Drosophila melanogaster: one gene and its partners. The protein of the gene in region 3 interacts with the protein of the main gene of each other region in a pairwise test. Each region holds a gene or a part of one and is shown on either strand. Other genes may lie near its edges.

Region 1 (4,798 bases), 3.0 Mb from region 3:
AAAACCATACTTCTTGGCCAGTCGCGCCACAATCTTGGCCATAGGCCGATAGCTGAGCACGTTATGGGAAATTTTGAGATTTTTGTACCGACTGCAAGTGAAGATAGAATTAGATGAATTGCAAGACCAGTTTTTCAAATACATACTCGAGTAGATGCTCGCAGAGCTCTAAAACCGACTTCTCCTTGTGCAGCAACGAATCCAAGAACTTGACAAAGGGCAACCTCTGCTGTGTGGCATGGTCCAGATATTCCTCGGCCAGTGGTAGTTTCTCAATTGCAATCAGCGGGAAAGCCAGTTCCAGCATGTCGAACTCGTGCGTCAACTGCAGACTGATGGACCATTGGGTGACCTCTTTGTAAAGCCCGTTGTCCAGGAGTTCGCGCAACTTGGGAAGCAGTAGGTCGCGGATCTGACGTAGACTGTAGGCATGGATAACAGCATTGTTGAGGGCCAGCAAGCCGGAGGTCTTGACAAAGTTAAAGGCTATCATGCTGGTGTTGGGATCACAGCCCTCGCCAAGATGCGGGAAATCCTTGTGGAGCTTGCAAACCGTGTCCAGCACAAAATGTGACAAGCTCTTCGTCTTGATGTTGCTGCTGTCTGGGCAGTTGGCGAAGATCTTCAGGGCCAGGAGCAAAGGATCCTGATGGCCCATTAAAGCCCTTCCAAATTCCTGGCGCAGATGTGGCGACTTTTTCTTGCTATACATGTTCCACTTCTCGCGGAACAGCTTAAAAAACTCCTCCGCCTTTGCGTCCAAGGTGGCGTCAAAGTTACAGCCGTCGATTCCAGCACCTGTCGTGATGTCCTCCAAGCGCTTGATCTTCAGGTTGCTCATTAGGTTCTCCATGTTCTCCTCGTCCGACTCAAAGCCGGCGGGTATTGCGTTGTACATGTGGCTCTTGCGTGCCATTTCTCACGGGTTTCCCGTGCCACTGCAGAGCGAAGCAAGTGCAATTGCCAATTGCAAATGCAATTGACGGTAAAGGCGAACAAACTTCGATGGAAATATCGATTTCAAAAACATCGATGTTTCAGTGACCGCCCAAAACAACACCAAACGTCAGCAGAAACCGCCAAAAGTTATAGATTTTTTTAAAGCAAGATTATTTTTTTCGCAGATTAATGCCTTGTTGCTAGAAAGCTATATATATATATATATATATTAATATTAAATATATATTTATAATTAGCAATTTTTTATACAGTGAACAAGGTACATGAAATCCGCCGGTGCAAAATTATTTACAATTTTTACTTTGATTGGAAAATTTATTTATTAAATTTGCTTGGAAATACGGCAATCATTTGTATTGCAGGATTGAAATCCAAAGAACAACTATTTGATAAAAGTCTAGCTAAAATAATAAGTATTATAGTTATTCTAACTGTGTTGCCTTTGAAGTCCAACTGGCAAATGAGTTAATGAGTTTTTATTTTAATTAAATTGTTAAAACTTGCCTATTTTTACTATAGCTGTATTTAGCTCTATTTTCCTAACGCATTGGCAGCACTGCCCACAATTCAGCAGCGTGGCAGCCCCGTTGAACAGCACACGTGCATTTTTGTTTTAGTTTGCACGTTGAAAAATGAAGCTGGCTACGAAAAAAATTAAGACCCTGGGCAAATCCAAGCCTGACCTAAGCAAAAAGAAGCCCGCCAAGGATGCCATCAGGAAGACGAAACCGCAAACAACCTCTGAAACGAAAGTTACTCCAAGAAACCCGAAGCAGAAAGTCGCCGAACCAGTGAAGAATGGGAAGACCACAAAAAAGGGATTTAAGAAATCCCACAAAGAGGAGCTTGAAGGGCTTAAAGATATAGACCCAGAATTTTATGATTTCTTAAAAAATAATGATAAGAAGCTACTGGACTTTAATTTACTGGACACAGATGATGATGATGATGAAGAGGGGGATGAGGAAGACAAGGAAGATACGGTAACTAAGGAAAGTAAGGATGACGAGGATGACGAAGAGAAGTACCACAAACCCAGCAAGGATTTGGAGGTGGCTAGCGATGAGAGTGACTTTGAGGTCGACGAAGAGGACGATGCGGCAGCTGGAGGTATCCAAAAGATCACCCTCAACCTGTTGCATCAGTGGGAACAGCAATTGGGCCAGGCCAACATATCTATTGACATTGTCCGCAAGGTTATCCAGGCTTTCAATTCAGCTCTGGCTAGTATCTCTGCCGACGGAGCGGACGGAGGAGAGAACAAGCATAATGCTGCCGCATTTAAGGTAGTGGGGGCAGCTGCGTTTAATGGAGTAATTCAGCTCTGCGTAATCCACCTGCAGCCCGCTATAATTCGATTGCTGGGCGTTAGACCCAACAGCAGCCTACCGCTGCACAAGCACAAGAAGTGGGTCAAGGTGCGAGGCTGTTTGCGCTACTACCTCACCGATTTGATTCGTCTGGTGGAGCAGGTGTCCAGTCCAAATATCTTGGGCGTGTTGCTGAAGCATTTGCATCAAATGGCCGGCATGGTGGTTCCCTTTTCGGCACTTGGAAAGACCATATTAAAGCGTCTGGTTGTCTTATGGTCCACTGGAGATGAAACAGTTCGTGTTCTGGCCTTTCTCTGCATTCTGAAGATAACCAGGAAACAGCAGGTAAATATTCTGAACTAGACACTTATTGTGACCCCTGCTAACACCAATGGTTCTTGCAGGCGACCATGCTGAATCACGTTCTAAAAGCCATGTACCTGGCCTATGTACGCAATTCCAAGTTCGTGTCGCCGAACACTTTACCAGGAATCAACTTTATGCGCCGCTCGCTGGTGGAGATGTTCGCGTTGGATTTAAACGTCAGTTATCAACATGTCTTCCTCTACATCCGACAGTTGGCCATTCACCTGCGAAATGCAGTGATCCTTAAGAAAAAGGACAGTTTCCAAGCGGTTTACAACTGGCAATTTATTAACTCGCTGCGCTTGTGGGCAGATCTCCTGGGAGCAAGTGCGAACAAACCACAGTTGCAGCCTCTGATTTATCCCCTTGTTACCATTGCCACCGGAGTGATTCGACTGATACCCACCGCTCAATACTTCCCATTGCGATTCCACTGTCTGCAGACCCTAATTTCACTGGCCAAAGAGACAAACACATATGTGCCGGTGCTTCCACTCATTGTGGAGGTATTAAAGAGCAATACCTTTAACCGCAAGCACTCGGCGGTATCCATGAAGCCAGTGCAGTTTACCTGCGTCCTTAGGCTTAACAAAGGGCAGTTGGCGGAAAATGGCTTCCGCGATGAGGTGATCGAGCAGGTGTGTGGGCTTCTGTTGGAATATCTCGCTCATGAGTCCACCTCGCTGGCCTTTAGTGATTTGGTGGTGCCCACTGTCATGGCCATCAAAACGTACCTTAAGGAATGCAGGAATGCCAATTATGCTCGAAAACTTAAACAGCTGCTAGAGAAGATTCAGGAGAGTGCCCGCTTCATAGAGCAGCAACGTGGCAAGAGCAGTGTCACTTTTGACATAAAGGATGCGCAGGCGGTCGCCGCCTGGGAGCAGCAACTCCGTCTTAAGCGCACTCCACTAGACGTCTACTATGCCAGCTGGCTAAAGACACACGAGACCAAGAAGCGACGACAGGCAGCACATACAGATGAAATCAATGCGGACTATGATGTGCCCAAGCTAAAGAAACTACCGGTCAAAACCGGAGTACCAGTGAGAAATGAAAACGGCGAGGTCGAACTCTTCCCCTCGGACTCGGAAGATGAAGGCGATGATGGCCTGCATTTGGGATCAGATGATGATGACGACGAGGATGTACAGGAGGAGGAGGAGGTGGAAGTTGAGCACCCTAAAGCCAAAAAGGCGAAGAAAGAGAAGCCCGAGAAACAAAAACCTCGGCCAGCAACAGTGGAAGATGATTACGACGAGGCGGGTGGAGCCGTGGATATTGTTAAGGACTTAGATTTGAACGAATGGTAAAACATTTAAGATCAATTTAACTATATTTACACATTAAATTAAAAGGAAAACCAATATAGAGTTACTTCTCCGGTGGCTCCTTGCCAGGAATAAACTCATACTCCTTGTATTTGGGAAAGGTTCCAATAGTTGGTCCGTCCACCTGCTTGGGCAGTGCCTTGTCGTCCTTGCCCTTGGCGTATGTTGCTTCCAATTCGGCGGCGTTGCGTTTCTTCATGTCCATAATCTGAAGATTTTTCACCAGCTCTTCGCGGGTGGGCGGCTCCTCCCGGCGCCCTCGTAGCCACGCCTCCCATTCGGCAGTCAGCTCCTGGTCGAAGGCTTCCTTATCCGCTGGCTCGAACCACCGGGAAGGCTTCCTCTTTCCAATCGAAGGATTTGCAGGAATTTCGTAGTACTTATTCCCGAAATAGTCCTCCCCAATGTAATCCCCACGAAACTGCCGCGGTCGTAGGGACTTCCAAAAGTTCTTGAAGATGATGCCGATCACATCGCGCGTCGGCTTGTTAGCCATGCTTATTTTAACTTAAGAGCGAGGAACTTAAATTTATTTTAGAATTTGAGGTTAGGTCTTGCGTTTGTTATGACATGAACAGCTGGTGGCGGTGTTGCAAAATGCCGGCAGGTTTAAAAGCGTAATTCAAATTCGTAAAATTGGTTTCAGTGGCAATGCATAGGGACTAAACCAGTCCCGCAGAAAAATTGCCATTAAATCTGTACGGAGACTATTATTGTTGTATTCCATGTCCTGGAGTACTAATCCAATGCCAGCTGAGTAAGTAAAATGCTCTCCCGAAAAACTGGAGGTGCCTATAAAGGCAACCCTATCGGTGACTAAGTACGAGT
Region 2 (4,896 bases), on a different chromosome or scaffold from region 3:
GCATACTTGCTATGCGCACTCTGGGAGCCAAACTTGTGCAACCCAACTTCATCCGCCTTCGCCGATGTGCCGTGTCCATGAGGCTAGACGTAACCGCTCGTAGCTCAGCTGATCCCACAGATGTGGCACGATCTCTGAAGCAGATCCACAGATGGGGCTGTTCCATGTAGCTATTGCTCGGATCTATAATGGTGTGGGTGGGGTCCTACCTTGAATCGGTGCTCCTCGACGATCAGAGTGACGTCCGTGAGTTTCTCCTCGTTGCGCAGCTTGTTGAGGCCCCGCAGAAGGGTCTCCTCCTCGGGGGACACGGGATTCACAGGAATTTTGGCCGCAGCCGACGTTGCTGTCGCTGCCGGCGTCACTGCTGGCGCTGGCGTCGCTGCCATGCTGTTCGCTGTACTCTCTCGGAACGGACCAAAGATTAGAGCGGGCTATTAACCTATATATATGTTAACCTATGTGGTCCCAAGGTTGGGGAATCCGTCTGATAAGAAATTCTTGAGATGACCGAGCTTCTGGTGCGCGAGTGCGAGTGCGAGCGAGAGGGCAGCACGTTCTGTTTACACTCGCGGCCAGCTGTCTACAAACCGTTATTTGGCGAACTATGAACCGTTCTACGACAAATATACGCACGAAATTAGCTAAATTATTGCTAAACACTGGCAGAGAAAAAAGTTTCGCGTGCGATTTCTTTGCTTGTTGCTACCTCTTTGCTTCTTTTCCCTCTTGCGACTTTTTACTTTTCGCGTTTTTGACGTTTCTTCTCTTGACGTTTGAACTGCCAAGTCGGCTAGCACCGCTAGTGATGCGCATTTAGCTATCGATTGCGGAGCGCGATCGTTTAAAATTATATTTTCAAATTTCATATATATACCCGTATTCCTGGGTGCTTTTAATTGGGAGACGGGTGAGTATGCAATTTAAAAGGTTTTTATAAGAGAATGCTAGCTTTTGAAGTCAAAAGCTCGCGAATTTCCCCTTTAACATTGATATGGTAGCATTTAAAAATGAAATTGTTAAATTTGCACCAAAATAAGTCTATGTTAGTTACTTAGTTTAGCTTAGTAAGATAGCTTACGTTAACTTTAGGCAGAAATATTAATACTAAAAGAATAATTAATTAATTTCTTTAAAAAAGTCAATCTTATCAGAGACATTGAAGTATTTCACGTTAGGCAGTTGTTTCTTGTTAGAAAATGTTTTTCGGATCCGCAAATAATTTTGATACGAGAAAAGATATCTAATTAAGTATTATATATTATATAAATATATATTTAAATTAATACACTATGATATTAGTGTGGGTGAGTTCAAATACACTCTTAAAAATACGCGTTCCATTCTTGGACCAACATTTATTCAGCGTGCTGTATCTATTCACTGCAAATATTTCAGAATAAAGTGCAGGCTAGCAGGTAAAAAAATTGTATTTAATTTTTTTTCTCACAATATCTATAGTCTCCAGTGTTAACTAATGGCCAAAGTTTCGTCCAGTGGTGATATCGCAGCATAAGCCGATAAGCTGCTGCAAAGTATCGACATACGTCCAGGCATGAAAACATCGATAGCCTGCGTGGCATCGGCCGTATTCCACCTCTACTCGACTGGTCTGGTCACTCGAAAATCACATCGGACGAAATCGAGTGGAAAGCGGAGCAAGTAAAACAAGAAGTAGAGTAAAATACACAACTAATTAATTGTAATTTGGCCGAAAGTGCAGACGGTGCGCGCGCGATCGCTTGATTGTATTGTGAATCATTAGTAATTAAAGCAGCGTAAGTGCTGGCGCAACCACAACAACAAACGTGTGGCGTCAAATTTTTTTTTTGTGAAAAGAAAAAGGCGAAAAGTGTAATAAAAAAGTAAAAAGCAAGCGATGAATGTGTGCAAGGCGTTCCAAAAAATACAAGGATCGATGCAAGGCGAAGAAAAACACACAACGAATTCGGCAAACATTTTGGTTGTTCGCTAGTTAAAGTAATTAGTTTATTGCTCGCCGCCGCCGACGACGCCAAAAACAACAACCACAACAACAGAAGCAACGAAAGAAAGCAACAGTCAAATGGCGAAGAAGAAGCAGAAGCTGAAGCGGCAACAACAATTGGAGTGCAAAATGCAACGTGCATGAAATAAAGATTTTTACTCTGTATTTGTGGTTTTTTTGCACAGGCCCAAATGAAAATTGTCGCGCTGTTTCTTTTTCTTCCTTTCTCTTTCCCGCACTCTGCAACCTTAAAGAAGAAGCAAAAAAGCGGAGCAATTACGAAAGGAAGGAAAAGAAATGAAAAAGAAATGAAGTCGTGTAGGTGTGTGTGAGTGTGTTTTTGTGTGCGGTATGTGCGTGTGTGCGCGCCACATGAGGAAACTGCCAGCAGCGACGCCAACTGCGGCGTCGGCAGCATGTAGAACCCAAAAAATAAAGCAAAACAAAAAAGTCCACAAGAAAAAACATAAAAACACAGTTACGGTTACGATAATAGTATCAATAGCATCGCGTTTACTGACAATTAAAATTTGTTAAAAATAACAAACATTTTAGTATCTTTAAAGTAAAATAATCAATCTTATGTCACGAAAGTAAAAGAGTGCACTCCTTTCTACTTTTCTTGAGTTATCGGTAGTTAACGGTAGAATGCCCTTTGAAGTGCTATTATTTTGACCGTTACTGCTGATTTTTTGGCTGCCACTGACTCACATTTCATTGATAAGAAGAAGAAGGAAAAGAAAAGAGAGGAAAGAATGGGAAAGAATTGAGGAATGTCCTTAAATAAACAAACAATAAATCGCCTTATCAGCTCCACACCGTTTTTGTTGTGTTTTTTCTAGTTTGCAAAATTAAAACGAAATCATAAATATACAAAAAGGAAGCAACAAAAAAGTTTAAAAGAAAATCGTCAGAAAGGGAGAAGAAAATCTTCCTGGTTTTTGGTAAGTATCATAGGCTTTTTGTTTATTTTATAAAAATGTTGTGTAAATCTAAACAGTATAACAATTGAAGAATCGGCACTTTTCGGCCCATTTTGTGCACTCTCTTTATTGCTCTCTTGCTCTGTTCCCATCTTTCACGTCTTCCATTTTCCGTTGTATGCCAGCAGCGAAAGTTGTCTTCCTGCTTTTTAGGTTTTTTTTTTGTTTACGTACCACCAGACTCCCTTCTCTCTTCTACTGGACCTCTTTCTCTCATTTCCTCTCTGCGGAGAATTCTTCTGCAGAATTCACAGAGACAACGCAAGAAATTAGGCGAATAAAAAAATGTGTTCATTCTTAAAACTTCTGAATTATTTTTTATTTTTTGATAAATAAGTGCAATAAATTTTCATTTACAAGAATTGTAGCCCTTAACAGTCAAACGATTGCGTTTGAAGGGATTTAACCTTTTTCGAACTTTAAAACCCCTGTCACATTGAAGAATATTAAAGAATATTAAAAAAAGTAATCAACAGGAATAAATTACTTAATTTCTGAAATTATTCCCAAATTACCGCAGTATTTGCTGGCTATAACGATATTGCCATATAGCGCCCACTTAAAAATTGCAGGATAATTTTCGTGAAACCTCCGTAATTTGCAATCAATACTCAGCTGGTTTAAAATTTCCCATTTCGCAGTGGAATTATCGGGCACTTTCGGCCAACTTTTTACCCATTTCCTCTACTGTTTTACTATTTTGCCACTTAACTTCGTTGACATTGCCCCTAACTTGAGGACAATGGGCAAATAAAGACATGAACAATCGGAGCACACGCACCTCTGCTGCAAATGGTAAAAGTCAATAGATAATTATGTATAATGAGCAAAGAATTACGTTGCCCAATTGGCAATTATTGCAACAATAGTTAAATCCATTACGTGTTTCTGCCCCCTGCGAATGCCGGCCAATAATAACGGGCATTTCCAGCCCGAGCTCGAACTCGGACCGAATCACGAATTGTAAGAAAACTCAACTTTATGCGCCGGACTTTGGTTACTGTTACTGTTATTGCCTCTCCATGGGCTAATGTTATTTTGTATTTTGTTTTCCAATTTTTTTTTTGTGTCTTGGTCAACACGCAAGAAGCAAAAGTAAAAAAAAAAAAACCAAAGGGGCGAGTAAAAAAAAAACAGCAACAAACTAAAATTACATAAAACCTTGAAGTTACACGCGCAGAAACAAATGCTCTATGAACTTTGCTCACTTATTTGCTAAAAAATAGGGTTCCAATGGGGTTCTTTAAAATCTCGAGCTCGAAACTGAAAGGAAATCGAGTTCGGACGTGTTTAATTATTATTAAAAAAAAAAAAAACTAAGCATAGAACTTCAAAAAATATATGCGATTCATTTAAATAACTATATTGAGACTTGGCAATCGTAATCTAAACCTTTCTCGCCATCTCACCTCCTCTTATTTGTAATGCGAAGTAAAGTGGCCCAGCCCTTTCTCTCAGTGTAGGGACGTGGCTGGGGGCCTGGGAACCGCTGTCTTCACCTTCTGCCTCAACTCTAAGCCTATTGGCAGCGGCCCGAGCACGAGCCGCCTTAACCCAAAGTGGGGGAAACGAACTCGGTTCGCAGCCAAGCCGCTTGATTAACCTTCTTTTTTATTACAATATTTTTGTTGACTCTTTTCGTGTGCTCATTGCTGTTGCTGCTGCTTTTGTTTTTGTTTTGGTCGTGGTTTCAAGGCGGCCACGTTCGGGATGGGAAATTAAATGCACTGCAATTACTGCACCCAAAAAAAGCCGCGCAATATACATAAATACATGCATATGTATGTGTATGTGTATATGTGTGTATGTATGTACAAAGAGAATGGAAGTCAGGGGCAGATAGGATCTGGGTGGCCAACGCGAGGGGATTAGAGTTCAAGGGAAGAGCGTTGTCGAGGGAGGCTTCACATTACCTGTACAGTGGTC
Region 3 (3,362 bases):
GCAAACAAAGCCAGGCCGCCAAAGAGAAACTGATTGTAAAGAAGCGAAAAGAATGTAAGCAGTCAAAAAAGGAAGAAAGTCGAAAAAGCTGGCAATGAGAGGGCCAAGAACGCAAGGGGCGCGGGCCAGAATTGAAACAGTTAGCTGGCAAATCGGATTGCGAATCTGCTGTATTGACACAAGGAAACCGTTAGCCGGCTTAGCCAGCAAGAGGGCAAATTTAAAATTAAGAATATAGCAAGCAAGACCGTTTCAAATCAAAGTGATATGCTAATGCCCCAGTCGCGAAGGACTTGAAGTCGTGTGGCATGAATATTTCATGAGCGCAGGAGTGATGACAATAAGCCGGCTCCGGGAATAAAAAAGAAGCGCAGAGTGAAATCAGGACGATGACGGAGCTAAGACGAACTAATGGCCTGCACAAGCAGCACTCCCTGAGAGATCGACAGGTGCATCCGATGCTGCACGCCCTGGCGGATCACGGCTGCAACCTCAGCAGCGGTGGCAACAGTGCGGCCAGCACCACCAGCAGTAGTACGGCCACGGCCACCACAGCACTTGGTGGTGCCGGCGGTTTGGGCGGTCTGGGTGGCCTGAACGGTGGTGTCGGCATAACAAGTCAGCGGAGCGTTGAGTTCGATGAGCACGACATCTTCTACGTCTCACCATCCAAGCGAAAAGGAGCCACTTCAGGTGAGTAGCACCCTTCTGAGGGGTAAATAAACGCCAGGCCCATCAGTCAATCATATAAAAGTTTTCCCAGCTTGCTCATTAAGCAAATAAGTGTCAGAACTTAACAACTCTAATTAAGATATTACTACCAGCGCATTCAGTACTTATACTTGCATGTACAATACGCTATAAATAATAATAAATTATTTTTATGCGGCACTTCAGACAAAATTTAAATAGCTTAATAACATATTATACAAGATTCTGTTAGAAAAGAAATTTAATTGTATATTTCTTCTGTAACTCGTAGAGTAAACAATTAGCGCCTCTGCTGCTAAGAGTAGTTGAGCGCACATTACTAGAATGTGGTAGACGGACAGGACTAGAACTTTAAATGGAAGCTAAACAACTTTTTTTTCTATCTTCCAGTAGGTTCCTCTGGCAATGTGGTAACCTTCTCGAATTTTGTAAGTGAACAACGCCTGACGCCCTCGTCGTCGAACCGCGGATCCCTGAAGCGGAGCAAGGGCCGCTCCAATCAGTCCCTGTGCAGCTGCGATGCCGGCGACGAGGCCCAACTGGATTTGCAACCGAATGCGGCAAGGCCGCTGTACGAGTACAGTCTGGAACGAAAGCGTAAGACACACACCTACTCCTGCGAGCAGAATGCGCAGATACTTATGAGACTGGAGCGCGAGCGTAATCGTAAATTATCGCTGACTGGGATGGAAACGGGATTGGGAATCGGACTGGGAGTGGGATTGGGAATGGGATCTGGAGGAGGAACAGGAGGAGCCGGAGACCCCCAGGTGAGTGAAACCCCGCTACACTTTGTGTAATTGTAATTGTAGTCATGAGCAGCCAACGGCACGTGCCTCCACCAGAAATACAGACAGAGTTTTGCAACAGGCAAATGCGCTAACCAAACAGAGCGTGGCACGTAGGAGGTGGATGTTGTAGTCTGACGACCGAGTGACTGACACCTGCCACACCCACTGACTCTTGGGGCTCGGGCTCAGGCCACCAAGCTGTCTTCGAATCGCGAGGGGAATGGAGGAGACTTCAAGTTCGCCAAGTATTAGGGCACACATGAATTTTGATTGTTATGGCAAATGCTGTGAGCCAGCACTTCGGGTCGATAAATTTCAGAGATAATCCAATACAATACCTTGATATGTTTTTTTAGAATTAAATATACTCCCATTTGACCATTTAAGTGCTTTTTCGGCAGCTTTGTGACTTTAGAATGTAAATTCCTTCAAAGTCAAGCCCAAAACTATCGTAACCGAGTAGGTCAAGTCCCCAACTGTCGGCCAGTTCGAACAGCCCGCCCGATTTCTACACAGTATACGTTCACATTCCAAGAGAGCAGATCTCAAACAATCGATATTCCTACCGACTCCCACATCAAAAAGCCGATAAGATCATCATGTCCGGCAAACGACTTGGTAGTATGGTGTCCTCCGCCAGTGTAATGCATTCGAGTGCATCGATCTCAAGCAGGGCTAAAAAATCGAAAAAGCCCAAACTGCCGACCTTTGACCTGTCGCTAAGCCAGAAGGTGGACATTAAGAAAGCCTTCGATTTGTTCGACACCCAGTGCACGGGCTTTATCGAAACCAAGGAGCTTCGCGTGGCCATTCGTGCCCTGGGATTCGAGCCGAAGAAAGAGGATATAAAGCGTATGATGGACGAAATCGATAAGGACAAGACGGGAAGGATTGCCTTTAACGATTTTCTATATCTGATGCGCCTGAAGATGGCGGAAAAGGACTCTAATCAGGATATGATGAAGGCCTTTTCCTTCTTCGATGACGATCGCACCGGCGGCATATCCTTCCTCAACTTGAAACGCGTGGCCAAGGAGCTGGGCGAACAGCTCACCGACGAGGAACTGCAGGAGATGATCGACGAAGCCAACGTTTCCGGTGATGGTGAGGTTAGCAAGGAGGAGTTTCTCAACCTTATCAAGAAAACCAATCTCATCTAGTTGCATTACGTTTAAATTTATTCCGCAATTCATTTGTGTAAACGGGAAACGACGTTGTATATAACCCATATAGATTTACTCATTTTTCAGACAGACACATCAATCTGACTCGAAACCCATTACAGTGAAGAAGTTTGGATATGCTTCGGTTCAATAAAGCTTCGCATTGAATTATTTTTGATATTTTTGATATTCAATCTTCTTGAACCCATATTTTTGGGAATCTAAATGGGTTCTATGTTTTTAGTTAAATATTGCATAACAATAAAAACCAGAGTATAGTAATGAGCACAAATTACGGATAGTTAATTTTCGGTTTATCATTACGAATTCTTTTAAAGTTATGTATTTCGTACTCTATGAAATTTTTGAAATAAAACAATTTCAGATCGCTGGGAATCTCATAGTCCTTGTTTTTGATACTTGGGCGAGTTTGCTGTCACAGGCCTCTGTCATGCATAACAAATCTCTTTGACACATTTGATGTATGCTTTTCCATGGGCCTGCTCCACTTTCGGTTTTCAGTTTTCAGTTGAGTTCGTTGCAGCAAATTGTGGCTGCAATTTGGTGGCATGCGTGGGCGCTTTTCCAACTGCCGGAAGAGCTTTTCCATTTCCCATCTTTGCCTGTCCCCGTTTCTGTGCCTTATTCACTCTTAACTCTGTGTCTTCGGTTCGTTGTTCAAACGGCAAACATAATT

The links. The genes of interacting proteins can lie anywhere in the genome.
Region 1: the proteins of CG31802 (region 3) and Noc2 interact in a two-hybrid assay, tested with the Drosophila melanogaster proteins (one large-scale study listed by BioGRID).
Region 2: the proteins of CG31802 (region 3) and RhoGAP19D interact in a two-hybrid assay, tested with the Drosophila melanogaster proteins (one large-scale study listed by BioGRID).

Annotation. Positions count from the first base shown.
Region 1 is NT_033779.5:21,162,087-21,166,884, forward strand, and holds Noc2 (nucleolar complex protein 2), read left to right. Parts: upstream 1-1,554; 5' UTR 1,555-1,592; coding exon 1,593-2,618; intron 2,619-2,677; coding exon 2,678-3,952; 3' UTR 3,953-4,004; downstream 4,005-4,798. Other genes in the region: Nbr (nibbler), read right to left, coding at 1-91, 147-916; CG43346 (uncharacterized protein), read right to left, coding at 4,014-4,466; CG43345 (uncharacterized protein), read right to left, coding at 4,593-4,798.
Region 2 is NC_004354.4:20,507,401-20,512,296, reverse strand, and holds the start of RhoGAP19D (Rho GTPase activating protein at 19D), read left to right. Parts: upstream 1-1,602; 5' UTR 1,603-1,778; intron 1,779-2,829; 5' UTR 2,830-2,931; intron 2,932-4,896. Other genes in the region: CG1812 (uncharacterized protein), read right to left, coding at 210-389.
Region 3 is NT_033779.5:18,207,888-18,211,249, reverse strand, and holds CG31802 (uncharacterized protein), read left to right. Parts: upstream 1-2,012; 5' UTR 2,013-2,101; coding exon 2,102-2,662; 3' UTR 2,663-2,835; downstream 2,836-3,362. Other genes in the region: CG42750 (uncharacterized protein), read left to right, coding at 390-693, 1,102-1,481.